Notamacropus eugenii: one gene and its partner. The protein of the gene in region 2 interacts with the protein of the main gene of each other region in a biochemical or structural test. Links are inferred from orthologs where the notes say so. Each region holds a gene or a part of one and is shown on either strand. Other genes may lie near its edges.

What was found.
Region 1: the proteins of GRB2 (region 2) and NCKIPSD form a complex in vitro, tested with the Homo sapiens proteins (2 studies listed by BioGRID). The link is inferred for Notamacropus eugenii from reciprocal best matches to the Homo sapiens genes GRB2 and NCKIPSD.

The regions. Positions count from the first base shown.
Region 1 is NC_092872.1:7,812,325-7,819,832, forward strand, and holds the start of NCKIPSD (NCK-interacting protein with SH3 domain), read left to right. Parts: upstream 1-4,491; 5' UTR 4,492-4,593; coding exon 4,594-4,764; intron 4,765-7,508. UniProt on the Homo sapiens protein: Has an important role in stress fiber formation induced by active diaphanous protein homolog 1 (DRF1). Induces microspike formation, in vivo. In vitro, stimulates N-WASP-induced ARP2/3 complex activation in the absence of CDC42.
Region 2 is NC_092873.1:341,472,187-341,479,350, forward strand, and holds the start of GRB2 (growth factor receptor-bound protein 2), read right to left. Parts: upstream 3,004-7,164; 5' UTR 2,691-3,003; intron 1-2,690. UniProt on the Homo sapiens protein: Non-enzymatic adapter protein that plays a pivotal role in precisely regulated signaling cascades from cell surface receptors to cellular responses, including signaling transduction and gene expression.

The sequences.
Region 1 (7,508 bases), on a different chromosome or scaffold from region 2:
AATTTTCAGATTCAACTTCACACCCATCAGATTAGCAAAGCTGACAAAGCATCAAATTAGATAATTTCTGTAAAAAAAAGCCTTTAGCACAGAGCCTGGGACTTACTAGGCACTTAACATAAGCTTGCTTTCTTCGCTCTCTTTAGCCAATGACTGAGAGATAACACTACTAGGCTTATACCTTAAAGAGATTAAAGAAAGAGGAAAAAGACCTATATTTACAAAAATATTTATAGCAACTCGTTTTTGTAGTAGGAAAGTACCAAAAACTAAGGAGGTGCCCATCAGTTGGAGAACAGATAAATAAATATGTTTATATATAATACATATATGTTTATAATAGAATACTATATAAGAATAGAAGAAACATATTTCAGAGAAACATGGGAAGACTTGTATGGACTCATCCAAAGTGAAATGTTTAGAAAGAACAATTTATGCTATGACGTCAATATTGCAAAATAGAAATATTTTGAGAGATTTAAGCATTCTGATCAATACAATGATCAACTATGTTTTCACAGGACCAATGATGAATAATGCTACAAGTCTTATGACAGAGAGTTGAAAGACTAATGAACTAATATGCAGAATGAGAGACATCTTTAAATATAGCTAATATGGGAATTTGCTTTGCTTGAGTATGTTGGGGATTTTGGGTTTATTTGTTTGTTTGATCAGGGGGAGGAGAGGTTAGAAGAAAAGAATAGATGCTTTATAATTGAGAAAATAAAATTTAATTTATAAAGAAATATTTGCCCCATACCTGATTCAAATTGTGCTATGAATCCTTTTTTTTTTGTCTTTCATGTTTATTATTTATTTTTAACATTTACAAAAATATTTGTCTTCTGAATTCTCTCTCTCCCTCCCACTAGAAGGCAAGAAATGTGATATCAATTATACATGTGAAATCATGCAAAAAATATTTCTATATTAGCCATGTTGCAAAAAAGCAAGAAAAACAGTGAAAAAATTATGCTTCAACGTACACTCAGACTTCATCAGTTCTTTCTCTGGATAGCATTTTTCATCATGGGCCCTTTGGAATTGTCTTGGATCACTGTATTGATAAGAGTATCTAAGCCAGTCACAGTTGATCATAGTACAATATTGTTGTTACTGTGTACAGTGTTTTCTTGGTTCTCCTCGCTCCACTTTGTGTCTTCTCAAGTTTTTCTTTTTTTTTTTTTATTTTTATTTTGTAATGTTTAACAATCACTGCCATACAATTGTGATTTTATCCCCCCACCTACCCCCAACTCCCCCCCTCCCTCCCCACGACTGCATACAATTCTGTATAGATTCTACATATACTTTCCTATTGAGTATATTTTCACTATAGTCATGCTATGTAGTCAGACTAAGATAAATGAAAGAAATCGTATAACAAATCAGAACATGATACACAAACACATACACATACACAAACATGATCTGCTACAATATGTGAGTGACTTCCATATTTCTCTCTCTGAGTGTGGCAGGCATTTTGCCTTGAGATCCTCTATTGGGATTTTTTTTTTTTTTTGGTAAGAAGTTCTTGTGTTATTACAAAAATCTAAGTCTACCAGAAAAAACTCTCACACACTGTGGTTGTTGCTGTGCATAAAGTTCTCCTGGTTCTGCTCCTTTCACTCAGCATCAGGTCATATAAGTCCTTCCAGGCCTCTCTGAAGTCTTCTTGTTCATCATTTCTTATGGCACAATAGTACTCCATTACATTCATATACCATAATTTATTCAGCCATTCCCCAATTGATGGACATCCCCTTGACTTCCATATGAATCCTTTTAAAATAAATTCCCCACTCCAACCCCCTAGGGAGATCTAGACATGAGACAAAACCTAAGCTTTAAATAATTTGGTCCCGTAGCATCAGAGTGGAGGTTTAACAAACCAGAGAGGGTGATAAAAGGAAGTTTTGCTCTCATATCATTAGATGCCATGGTTCTCCAGGACTGAACATAGTCTGACTGTGTGCACAGATCCAGAGCAGAGGAGTCCTTTAGAAAAATGAGTACTTCCCCAGCTCCTTGGTCCTAACAGCAATTGTTTGATTTTAGGTAGGATAAATGGAGGCACAGAGAAGTTAACAGTTTCCCGGTGGTCCTAGTTCTGTATGGTTCCCCTAGGTATAGAAATGTTCCTACTGATAATAATAATAAAAAATAGCTAACATTTATATAATGCTTACTCTGTAGCAGGCACTATGTAACTAAGCACTTTACAGTGATCTCATTGGATCCTCACAATAAGGTAGGGGCAGCTATTCCCCATTTTACAGACAAGGACACTGAGGCAAACAGAAGATAAATGGCTTGTCTAGAGTCCCATAGCTAGTAAGTATCTGAGGCTGTATTTGAACTCATCTTCCTGACTCTGGTCCAGCACTCTATCCACTGCCTCACCTACAGCTCCTTAGGATGCAATCGTCAGAACCATAACTTTGCTCCACTCAGGTCTGGACTCCTGTTAGAGAAACCTGCCCTTTCAGAGTGTGTGTGGCAAAAGAAAACAGGGATGCTAGGTGGGAGAACTTGTAAAGGGGATTTGGCTGGAGCTCAGTCAGTGTTTGCCCCACAGTTTTCTACACTGGGCTCAATTACTAGGGCATGTTCCCAGGGTGATACATGCAGAAGGTACAACTCTCAATCTATATCTAATTTCACTGTACTGCCCCTTCTCTCTACCCTGATATTTCTGTTAAAGGCACCACTATCTGCTCAGTCACAACCTCAGTCATCCTTAATTCTTTCCTATCCCTCGCTGGATCCATCCAAACATTGGCTAAGTCTTATCAGTTCAATTTCCACATCCCTCACATCCATTTCCTTCACTCTACTCACTTAACTCCACCACCTTAGCACAAATTTGCATCACTTCTTACCTGCAATATTGTCATCACCTCCTAACCAATCTTCCTGTTTCAAGGCTGTCCTTTATCCAGTTTGTCATTTACAGAATTTCTAAAATGATCTCCCCAAGGTAAGAGTCTGAATATGACACTTCCCTGGGGATCTCGATTCTAATATGAATTCCTTAGACTCTCTTTCAAGGCCCTCTATAATCTGGTTCCAGTCTACATTTCTAGTCTTGTTTCCACATTATTTCCCTTCATGCACTATATATCCTAGTCCAACTAGACTACCAACAATTCAGTCCTTCATGTCCTGCCTCATATATTTGCACAAGTTATCCACCATGCTTGGAAACCACTGCCTCCTCATCTCCTCAATTGAACAAGCATTTATTGTGTACACTATATGAAAGACACTGTACTAAGTACCCCAAAATAATCTCTGCCCTGAGGAACCTTATATTCTGGTGGAAGTATAACATTTTGAGATGAATTAAAGAAAAGTCCACATGTAATATTTGAGCCTTGGAGAAAGCTAGGGATTACAAGGGATAGATGTGAGGAAGAACGTTCCAGGCATGCAGGGCAAAGGAGATAGATGTATTCAGAAATACATCCAATAGTTTCTGGAAAGAAAGTTGGTAAAGGGTTTAAAGTGTATTCTTTCTTAGAGGCAATAATGAACCGCTGGAGCTTCTCAAATGAGGGGATGACATAGACCTATGTTTTAAGGGTACCAATGTGCTTTTTGAATCGCCTCTAAAAATCTTTTCAGGGTTCAGTTTTGGTGCCAGTAAAACCTTGTGTGAATGAATTGGATTTCACCTTGGTCTTGGAATCAAGAAGACATGAGTTAGAACCCTGCCTCAGCCACTTCCTAGCTGTGTTGTTCAGTTGTGTCCAACTCTTTGTGACCTTGTGAACCGTAAGCGCACACTCTCCATGGGATTTTCTGCAGCAGCTTGTCATTTCCTTCTCCAGCTCATTTGACAGATGAGGAATTGAGGCAAACAGGGTTAAGTGACCTGCCCAGGGTCACACAGCTAGAAAGTTACTGAGGTTACATCGGAACTTGGATGTTCCGGACTCCAGGCCTGGCATTCTGCCCACTGTGCCATCCATCAACGTATGACAGCAACAGGGAAGATTTCAATTCATGAACTCTCTGCACCGTGCCACCTGGCTGCGTGCCCTTGTGTTAATCTTTAGGTACCAGGGGTAACTGCCTAGGAGTCAATCCACTAGGACGTAGACTGGTTGCAAGAAATGCTGACATTTTATTTGGCTAATCGGTCTTATCCATGCCTTAGCTCAGGTGACGCGTCAGGGCTGTTCCCTGTGCTCGTGGGGGGCAGGGTGCCCTGTACCTGGCGGCAGCTTTCAGGGAGCCACGCGCGGAGGGGTGACGATAACTCAGTGTGGCACCTCCCCGGGGTCTGCCCCGGGGCACCGCGGCCCGGGGCTGCGCCGAAGCCCCCCGCCCAGGCACAGACGCGAGCCCCGGGGGTGGGGTGGGGTGGGGGGGTGGGGGGGTCAGGCTGTCGCGCGTGGGCCGGGCGCGCCCCGGGGGCCGGGCTCCGCCACGAGGGCGGGGCTCCGCGGGGGGGAGCGGGTCGGGAGCGCGCACGCGGTGGTGTCACGGGGCGGAGCCGGCGCGGCAGCCCCTGGACCCCGGCGTCCCCGGCTCCCGGCTCCCGGCCCCTCCAGCCCGCGGCGGCGGCGCCTAGGCCTCATGTACCGCTCGGTGTACGCCTTCCGCTCGTCGGAGCCCAACTCGCTGCCCTTCGGCGAGGGGGAGACCTTCCTGATCCTGGAGCACAGCAGCCCGCACTGGTGGCTGGCGACCCGGGCCCGCAGCGGGGAGACCGGCTACGTGCCCCCGGCCTACCTGCGGCGCCTGCAGGTCAGCGCTGCCCGCGGCCCCCCCCCGGGCCATCCCCCCTGCCCGGGGCCATCCCGCCCCCCCGGGGCCATCCCCACCCCGGGCCTGGATCGCTCGGCCCTGGGAGAGCCCCGCCCCCTAAGGAACCCCAAGATCGCGGCCACTGGGGAGCCTTCGGAGGGGCCCCGGGCCCAGACCTTGGCGGGAGGGGTCCGAGGAAGCTCTGGCCCGGGGCGTGCCTGGGAGGGGTAGGCTTGGCTTCCGATCCCCTCCCTCTGCCTGCTCGTCTGCCCCTGACCAGGGATGGCTGGCTTCTCGGGATTGTGGGGAGGGGGGTGGGATGGAGGGAGGACTGGCCTCGCCCCTTGTTCCCGCTAGTTCTTTCCCCACTCCCATGTTATCCCCCACATCTTAGGAAGGTGATGGTGGAAACCCCCTCACCCCCTTCTTGTGAGACTTCAGTCCCGATGGGAAAGGGAGGTTGACTCTGCCTTAGGGCCAGGAGAGGGGTGCTGGTGTTTGAGAAGGTTTGTGAGTTGGACTGGGAGTGCCCCTTGTCTATAGTGAGCATCGTTTTGTTCCCAAACCAGCTCTCAGGACAGAAATAACCCTTTAAATTTGGAGAAATAGCAGCTGCGGCTGGCTGGGCACTTCAGCCTCCAGTCTGAGGAACGGACCTTTTTCCACTGGGAAAAGTCAGATTTGTCTGTGAGATCCATTCCTGTTCTTGGAGAGCCCAGGTCTGAGGATGAGGATGATTCTTGCCTTTGGAAAGCCTAGGCCTTGATTCTTTAAGACAGAAACCTAAATGTGTGTGGTGGAAAGAAGTAGATGAATGGGTGTGCCAGTGATCAGGGTAGGCTTCCTGGAAGAATTCCTGTGTTTGGTATTGTGGAGGCAGGGACAGAAGTTTGACAATTCTATCTGACCTATTCATTTGGGGTTTCTCATGGACAATTGTTGGGGTCACCTCTGGTTCAGACTTCTGCCCCCTCATGTAGCTCTATGAGGTGTGAGGGGAGGAGGAATCTTTTACAATGGCCTCCTGTATAAGGCCTCTTCAGAGAAGTATACCTTTGGGTATATCATATAACATTTCTGGGCCTTGGTTTCCCCATTTTGTAATATGAAGGACTAGATGATTTCTAAGGTCCTTCCAGCTGTAACAGCTTATATATTCCCATGGCTGTCAGTGGCTACATACAAAGTCCCTGTCATGACTGACAGTATTTGTGAGATCCTGCTTGTATCTGTGTGTGCACGTGTGGCTTTGCATAGCTGCAACAGTGTCCCTGAACAGCTCTGTCAAAGGAATGTCATACAGCAGCCCCTCCCTGGGTAGGGATTTAGAGCTCTCCTGTTTGTCTGTCTGGGTCTTGGTCCGTGGGTCCATTTGGCGCCTTCTGGGGAAAACTGGAGTAGGTGGGGGAAGGGAAGGATATTCTTAGGGAGCTCAGGAAACAGGCAGACACCCAGCCCACTGGTGATGAGGTCAAAACTGAGCTGAGGAAAGGAGGGTTGAAGTTGGACAAGAAAGTCTAGATGATAAGACCCTAGCACTTGGATCTCCTTCTTAGGTGTCTCCTCCAGTGCCAGGGCAGAGGCCTGAGATACCTAGTCACTTCCTTTTCTCTCTTCTCCTCTTCCTTCTTCTCTATCTCTCAATGTCTCTGATTTAGGTCTTGCCAGCCATTAACTGAAGACAAAATTGTGAGACTTGCCTTGGGGGGAAGGGAGTGGGTAGAGGAAGAAGGGGAAACCAGGACAACTTTTTATTACCCTTGCTTTTGGGGTGTGTAGAGTGAACCAGGTTGGATCAGCCTTGGGGAGAAGGTTATTAGACGCTGTGGGATTAAGGGGGGTATATAAGAACCTCAAAAGGCTTGCGGTGCCAAGTGGTGCAGTGACTTCCCATGGTGTCTGAGGGATGATAGGAAGTGGCACTACTGAGGAGACCTCTTTTCTACAGGGCTGGTCTTTATTCCTTTTGGCAGTATCTCTTGGGGATCCTGGGGAGCCTTTCCGAAGGGCTTCAGCCTGTTCATTGCTCTGGGTGGGGCAGCTAACAGGATTTCCAGATGTTTCTTTCTGACTTTGGTTGAGGCATTCTGTACTCCTGCAGGTCTGACGTGAGCTGTCGCATTCATGACTCTGATCTGTGACATTTTAATAATCATGGTGATGATAAAATGCTCTATAAATGTAATTTAATGTTAACAAAGCATTTTCTTCTCAACAGTCCTAGACTAAGGGATGCACCTAGCAATGTTAGCATTCCAGGCTCTGCACTGTGAACCTGCTCAGTCCTTGTTCTGAAAGACAGGCAAGACTCAGCACCCTCTGCTGTCCCTGGCTCTCCCATCCTGGTCTTGCCCCTCCTGTGCCAACCTTGGCTCCCTGGATTCTTCCAGGACATCTTCCCATTCTAAGCTGGGTCACCTACTGAACTTCCTATCCCCAACCTTATTCAGTACCTGTGGGACCAGAGTGGTTCTCCCCTCAGAGTATGGCCAGGATAGGACTGTACTAACCTTTATAAGGCAGCTTCCTTAGGAGGCAGTGTGATGTGATAGAGAGAGCCCAAGACATGGGCGTCAGGAGAAATGAAGCTCTGCTACTTACTAATGGAGTGACTCTACCAAATTCCTTCCCCTCTCTGGGCCTCAGTTTTTCATCTGTAGAATGGTGAAGATGGCGTTTGGGCTAGATGGCCTATAAGGTCCCTTCCCTTTGAAATCTTGCGCTCCCATGAGGATGTTCCAGGA
Region 2 (7,164 bases):
ACAATGAAAATGATATGTAAATAGTCCTAACCAGAACTGGGATTGGCTATAAGGCTAGTGGTGACCCCAAGGTGTAAGGGGAAGAAAGAGGTTGCAATGGCAGCTTTAACATTATTTTTAACAAATCCCTTTTTATTGATGCCTTTTGCTTTTATATCACATTCATTTCCAAATGTATTTTTCTACTCTTTTCCTACCCTGCATGCCTTGTTTTAAAACATATCTAAAGAAAAAAATTAAACAAAAATTCATCCACCTGACAGTATATGCAATATTCCATACCCATAACCACTATCACCTCAACCTCTTTCATGAAATGAAGGAGGTGAAATACATGCATTTTTAATAGCAGAACCTGTCTCCTAGGAAGGTAGGCATTTTGTAGTAGGTCAAGATACATAAGTTAACAGAAAAATGGAGTACACACCAACCACAACCATACAAGTGAATGAGAATGATGGACAAAGAATCCTGATGAAGACAGAGGAAGCAAATGAAAAAATTATAATACTTTGTATCATGAAATTAATTTAAATACAATTACAATTACTAAGTAAAAATACATGTATTACAATGAAATCTTAAAGCCTCAGATGGATCATAAGACACAATTTTTAGACCTTGATCAGAAACCACAAATGCTTTGTCCTGGTATCTGGTACACAAATCAAAAGATCTTAAGATTTGAACACTACGGCTCCAAAAGAGAAAGCTAATGTTTCTCCAGGATTTCTTTTCTTGTCTAGGACTGACTAGAGGATTCTCAAGAACAAGACAAAGAAAATAATGATAATATGAAGAGAGAGGACCTAATCACAGTAAATAAACGAATATAACTACCAAGGGGTACACTTTAATTGATTCACCATTGGGCTAAGGAAGTTATTTTCTACTAAGGTTTTCAATAAGTTCTAATAAGTGATTTTACAACTGAAGTGGACCCAGAAGAACCTCAACTCAAGCCTTCATTTTTAAAAATTCACAGCTGAATCTGTCTAAATCCATATCACTCTCAGAAACCCTAGAATAATATAATCCTTAATATAATGGTGTCTGACACAGGCATAGAGAAAGGCCCCTACAGGGTACAGCAAACACAAAGGCCCAAGCTACAGTGAAAGAGATTAGAAGAAAATCAATACAAATGACATGAGAGAACTACACTTATGACCTACGGCAGTGTCAATTACTTAGGGATGAATTCAATCCTTTGAGTCCACTAAATCCCCAGAGGGGAGCCCGAGTCTCACATGCATCTCTGGCAACCCTTCTGGTTGAATGAAAAAATATAGTGGAATGTATATAGCATCTGGCTTGGTCCTTCTCAAACTGAAAGACAGTTACTGCTACACTGAATATAGGTGAAAGAACAGGAACAACAAAGTTAAAATTTGACCATTTTCTAAAGAAAAAAAACTCAAGCAAGCAGAAAATTGATGATGCACATAAACAAAAAGAAATCTGTTAATGATGAAATACAGATATCCATTGGGCACTGAATAGAAATGAGTTAAAGATGAGAGGATAACCAAAATTATTTACATGATACAGGTGTAGGTAGGGAGGAATCAGCCTGTAAAGGGTTTGTTTGGAAAGGCGGTACTCATAAAAATTGAAATAACAAAACCTAGAAATTCCTTTTCTAACATGCCTGGTCAATTCTTTTCAATTTAAAACTAAGTAATACCTGAAACCAAGCTCTAATGCATACTCCATAATCTCTTCTTCAAACTGAATTTCAAATTACTACCATAGATGAAGATGTCCAGAATTATTTTCTAAACAGGACATGGTTTAAATCAGTTTTACATTAAAAGCTTTCCAAAGAAAATTTCTAGTAATTGATTTTATTCTCCCTACACGTCCCACTTCCTTGCTTCAATCACACCAAATACTTCCCCCCCACCGTGATGCTAGTTTAAAAAAATAACAGAAACAAATGCACTTCAAATGGTTCCCTTATCCTCTCTTCCTAGAAAAATGCAGGCTTTGTGGTGAGTTCTCCGAAGTTGAGGAAAAATAAAAAATCAAAATCTTTCCTGACACCAGACAGACAGCAGCTGACACAGAGGTGAGTGCCGAGCATGTCAGAGAAGGGACATCCCCACCGCCCTGGCAGTCTCTTCTGAATCCCCTGCTTCCTGCATTAAGTCTGACACAGAGAATTATTAGTCATTTGCCTTAGTAGTTACCAGAATACAGTAAACGATTTCTGCTTCTCCCCGGCCTGGGTCTCCAAACGCTCAAGCCAAAGACAGACACAAAATGAAATCAAGAATCCCCCAGCAGGGGAGCTGCACAGCCTCTTCTCTGGGGGTCCCAGCATGGGAGAGAGAGGGCGCTGGAGGAGGGGAGGTCCCTAAGGACTAGACTGGGGGGATGGTTCTCAAAGAGTGGGTCACTCGGAACAGAGCCCCCCCGTGGAGGGGGCGTCTCGAAGGGAGGTGTCAGTGCAGGTAGGGACTGCTGCCTCCCGGATCGGGTGGGTGGGGTGAAGGGACGGAGGCACCGGCTCTTCCTTCACCCCCAGCAGAGGTGCCACAGCCCCACAGCCCGAGGCGGCCCCGAAGCTCAGGACCCGGCCTCCCCCTCAGGGCCGCCTCCCCGAGGAAAGGGAAGAAAAAGGAGTGGGGGGGTGGGGAAAGAGTCGGGCCCTGCCCTAGCTTCCCCGCCCGCCGCCCCGCACTCACAGTGGCGCTGAGCTCCCGCTCTCCGCCCCGCCGGCCCGTCCACCCGCAGCGAGCGGCCGCCGAGATCCCGGCGCTCCCCGCAGAGCAGCGCCCGCCGCCGCCCGGTAGCCGCAGCACCAGAGCCGCCTCGCTTCCGCTCCTCCGCTGTACTCCCGCGAGAACTTCCTCTCCTCCGTCGGCCCGGCCAGGCCCCGCCCCCCCGGGAGACTTCCCTCTTCCTCTCCTTCTCCCCCTCCCCCCGCCACCCAGTAAAAGGGGCCCCAGAGCGCAAGCGTTCATTCCCCGGCCCTGCCCAGCAGGTGGGGGAAACCTTCTCGGAGTCTCCCTTTGCGCAGGCGCACACGCGGGCGCTGGCCCCCGGCCCGCCTCCGAGCAGGTGTCATGGGGCAGGCCGTCAGGCATCCACCCTTCCCCCACCTCCTAAAGGAAGCTGTAACTGTTTTCAGAACCAGAGCAAAGACGCCACCTCCTGCCCTCCAGACTTCCCTCTCGCCTTCTCGAGGTGGTTTGTAACTCTTTCCTACCCTTGATCGTTTCCCCTTCCCCTTTTCCTGACATCGCCCCAACTAGAAATTGTAAAAGATGAAAAGAGAAACACATCGCCCACTATGAGAATACCCTAAGGATGGTAAGAGATAAGATAGGGGAAAAAGGCTTCTCTGTACCAAAAAAGGGCATACCAGTATCATCCTTCATCGGAAAAAAGAGAACCTGGAAATAACACATGTCTAAAGATGTGGGAATGACTGAATAAATCGTGGTACAGGAACATCATGGAATTATACATTTTTTAAAATATTGGCAGATACAAAGTGAGTGAAGGAAAAAGAGTCAAAACGCCTAAAAGCAAACGCCTAAAAATTACTAAAGAGAAAAAAATGATTCAGAAGGAGAAATAGAAACAAAAAAGGACGTTTTTGTTATTATATTGTTAAAGTATACAACTTTTTAGACAATTTGTAAATAATTGGGTTTACAATATTATTTATGTAACATCCTCTCTGGAGTATCCCCCAATTTGCATTCATACTTGAGATTGGGGTCCCCAAAGGATAGCTGGTACTCTCAAGTTATAGAGTACAGACTGTGGGTACCTACTCCTACAACTACAATTCTAGAACCTCCACTGGTGTGCTTACCATTAACAATTAGTTAACTGACATAATTAGCCCTTAGCAAAGGTTTAAATGCCTAAGATACCATAGTCCAGTCAATAAGCATTAATTTATTAAGTAGCTACTATGTTCCAGGTACTGAGCCAAGATCTAGGCTTACAAAGAAAAATTAAGATCCCAAAACAGTTCCTGCCTGGAAGTTCACAATCTAATGGGGGAGACCGCATGCAAATGACTATCTACAAACAAGATATATACTGGATAGATTGGAGGAAATCATAGAGGGAAGGCATTAGCATTAAAGGGGACCAGAAAAGGCTTCTTACAGAACATGGGATTTTAGGCTGAGTTTAAGAAAGCCGGGAGGCCAGAGTAAGAATAGAGAAAATTCTAGGCATGGAACAGTGAAAATATCTAGTCAGAAATATAGTGTCTTATGTGAGGAAGAGCAAAGAGTTCAATGTTACTAGATTGTAGAAAGAAGTAAAGGGTAAAACACTGGAAAGGCAGGAAGGAGCCGGATTATGTACATTATCTATAAAACATTTTCTTCAGTAAAGCTGGGGTGTACCCTCCCGAACATATACTCAGTGTTAATGGGATGAGTGAGCCTATATATGGTATGGGGGGAGTATGGAGTATGTGAGGGCTTGCTCAGTCCTTTTCAAGGCTGCTCATGAACCTTTAGTATCCACATGTCATCGAATTCTCACCTGTGTCTCAAAAAATCTGTAGCATGTACAGCATTGACATCCCAGGAAGACTATCTTGCAGATAGGCTAAATGAGGTTGAGAGTAACCAACGAACCTCAAATCAGTTGGTAAGCTAGGGGGATAGCTAACCAAAGCCTGTGAAAGCTTCCTCCCATCCCCATGGAATGGGTAGATGAAAACAATTCATTCCAACTACCACAAAGGTGGCCAAAACAGGTGAAGTGCTTAGAGCTTAGTCAGACAGCAAAGAAGCCAAGGTCACTCCCTGCATCTCAGGCCATCGGTAGTCACCTTGAGTTTTATCTTGCCACCGGATTTCTATGACACTGGAAGAAGGAGTCAGACTGATAACTTTGTGCAACTCTGTCTCACTTCAATTCAATTCATGTGCAAGTCAAGACTACCTGTGATGTCATTGGCTCCTCTTTAAAAATGGACAAAAAACAACAAGCGAGGCTATGTACAAAGAAAATATGTGGCCAAAGTAACTCTTGCCTTTGGCTCTTAGGAGCTTTAATGTCCTTCCTCTGCTTGTAGAATCTTCTGGAAGGTCCTCCCTGGGTACTGTGTTTCTGTTGGATATGGGCAGATGGGCTACTAGAGGTCCCACTCCATAAAGCTTCCTGAAAGCAGTCTCTCTGTGACTACCTGAAGTATGTGTGTGTGTGTGTGTGTGTGTGTGTGTGTGTGTGTGTGTGTGTGTATTCTCTCAGCTATGCCTTGAACTCTCCTGAATTCATTCTCCAACTGCTGAACAGTAAGAAGGCCAGTTTAGATGCATCAAAAGGTATGGTTCATGAATTAATGTATATTAAGACTAGAAAAAGAGGTTGGAGTTAGGTTATAAACAGCTTTAAATGTCAAACTGAGAAGTTATATTTGACCCTAGACATAATGGAGAGTTGGTGAAATTTATTGAGTAAGAGAGTGATGCCTCTGAGAAATTGGTGCCCATGAAGTTGTTTGAGTCCATAACATGAGGATTGGTTGAAAGAACTGGTTAACACATGCAGGTTGCTTTAAAGATTTCCCTTTGCCAGGAGAGTCAACACATTCTTCTGAGCAGAAACCTTTTTAATAGAGACAAGGTAGGGCTAAATCTAGCTGAACCAGTGTTTTGCATACTTTCTGAATATTCTTTCCATGCTACTGTTCATTGAATTTCCTTTTTGTTAAATGTTAGGTGGTAAAAAAAAAAAAAAAGTTAGATGGTATACAGTTGGCTTATTTCATTCTATTTCAAACCTGAACCATGAGACCAGACTGAATCTGGGTAATTGTAATCAGGGGAGTATGTAACTGGTAAATCATTTGGATAGAGGAGTTTGAGTATCTGTGAGTTATCCATTTTGGAATGCCCAACAGGTAATTGATGTGGAAATATCACTCAGGAGAGAGACTGAATCTGAAAATTTCCTTAGAAAATTGTAGAACAGATCATTAAAGAGATGGTAGGTCAATAGCTAAGAAAGCAGTGATTACAAAGAGTCAACATGGCTTCATCAAGAACAGGTCATGCTGTACTAATCACATTTAAAATTTTGACAGCGTTAATAAACTGGTAGATGAGAGCGCTGTTGTAGATATAGCTTACCAAAGTTTTAGTGAAGTTTTTGATTAAAAAAAAGATATATTATTCTTGTGGAAAAGATTGAGATATGAGTTAGATGATAACAAAATCAGATGGCTTCAGAACTAGTCAGATGGACAGAGTCAAAGAGTAACTGTTAATGATTTATTGTCAACATGGTAGATCTACAATGCAGTACCCTAAGGATCTGTCCTTGGCTGTGTGTTGTTTAACATTTCTGTCAGTGACTTGGATAAAGGTATAGATGACATGCTCATCAAATTTTCAGATGATACAAAGCTAAGAGGGATAGCTAACGGTGGATGATGGAGTCAGAATACAATAGGATCTTGATACCTAGAACATTGAGTTGGATCTAAAAAGATAAAATTCAATAGAGATGAATGTAGTGTTATACTTGGGTACAAAAAAATCAACCTCAGAAGTATAAGATTAAGGAAGTATTGTTAGATGGCAGTTAAAAAAAAGATCTGAGGGTTCTAGTGGACTGCAAGCTCAATATGAGCTTGAGAGTATCCTGAGAAGGGCAACCAGAATGGTGAAAGGCAGTGAGTCCATAGTATATAAGCACTAGTTGAAAGAAGCAGGCAGTAAAAATGTTTATAGTAACTCTTTTTATGGTGGCCAAGAACTGGAAATTGAGGGGCTGCCTATCAATTGGAGAATAGTTGAACAAATTATGCTATGTGAATGTGATAGACTACTGTCATGTTATAAGAAATGAAAGGAACAGTTCAGAGAAATCTGGGAAGAGTTGTATGAACTGATGCAGCATTGAGTGAGCAGAACCAAAGAATAATTTATACAATAACAATAATATTGCTAAGACAACTTTGAAAAACTTGGGAATTCTGATCAATGCAATGACCACCCATGATTCCAGAGGACTCATAATAAAGCAAGTTACCTACCTCCTGAGAGAAGACAATAGAATCATAGTATAGACTGAGGTATTTGGGGAGGAGGTGGCCAAGGCCATTTTGGGGAATTTGTTTTGCTTGACTATGCATATATGTTTTTTAACAGGGAGTTTGTTTTTCTCTCTTACTCAGTG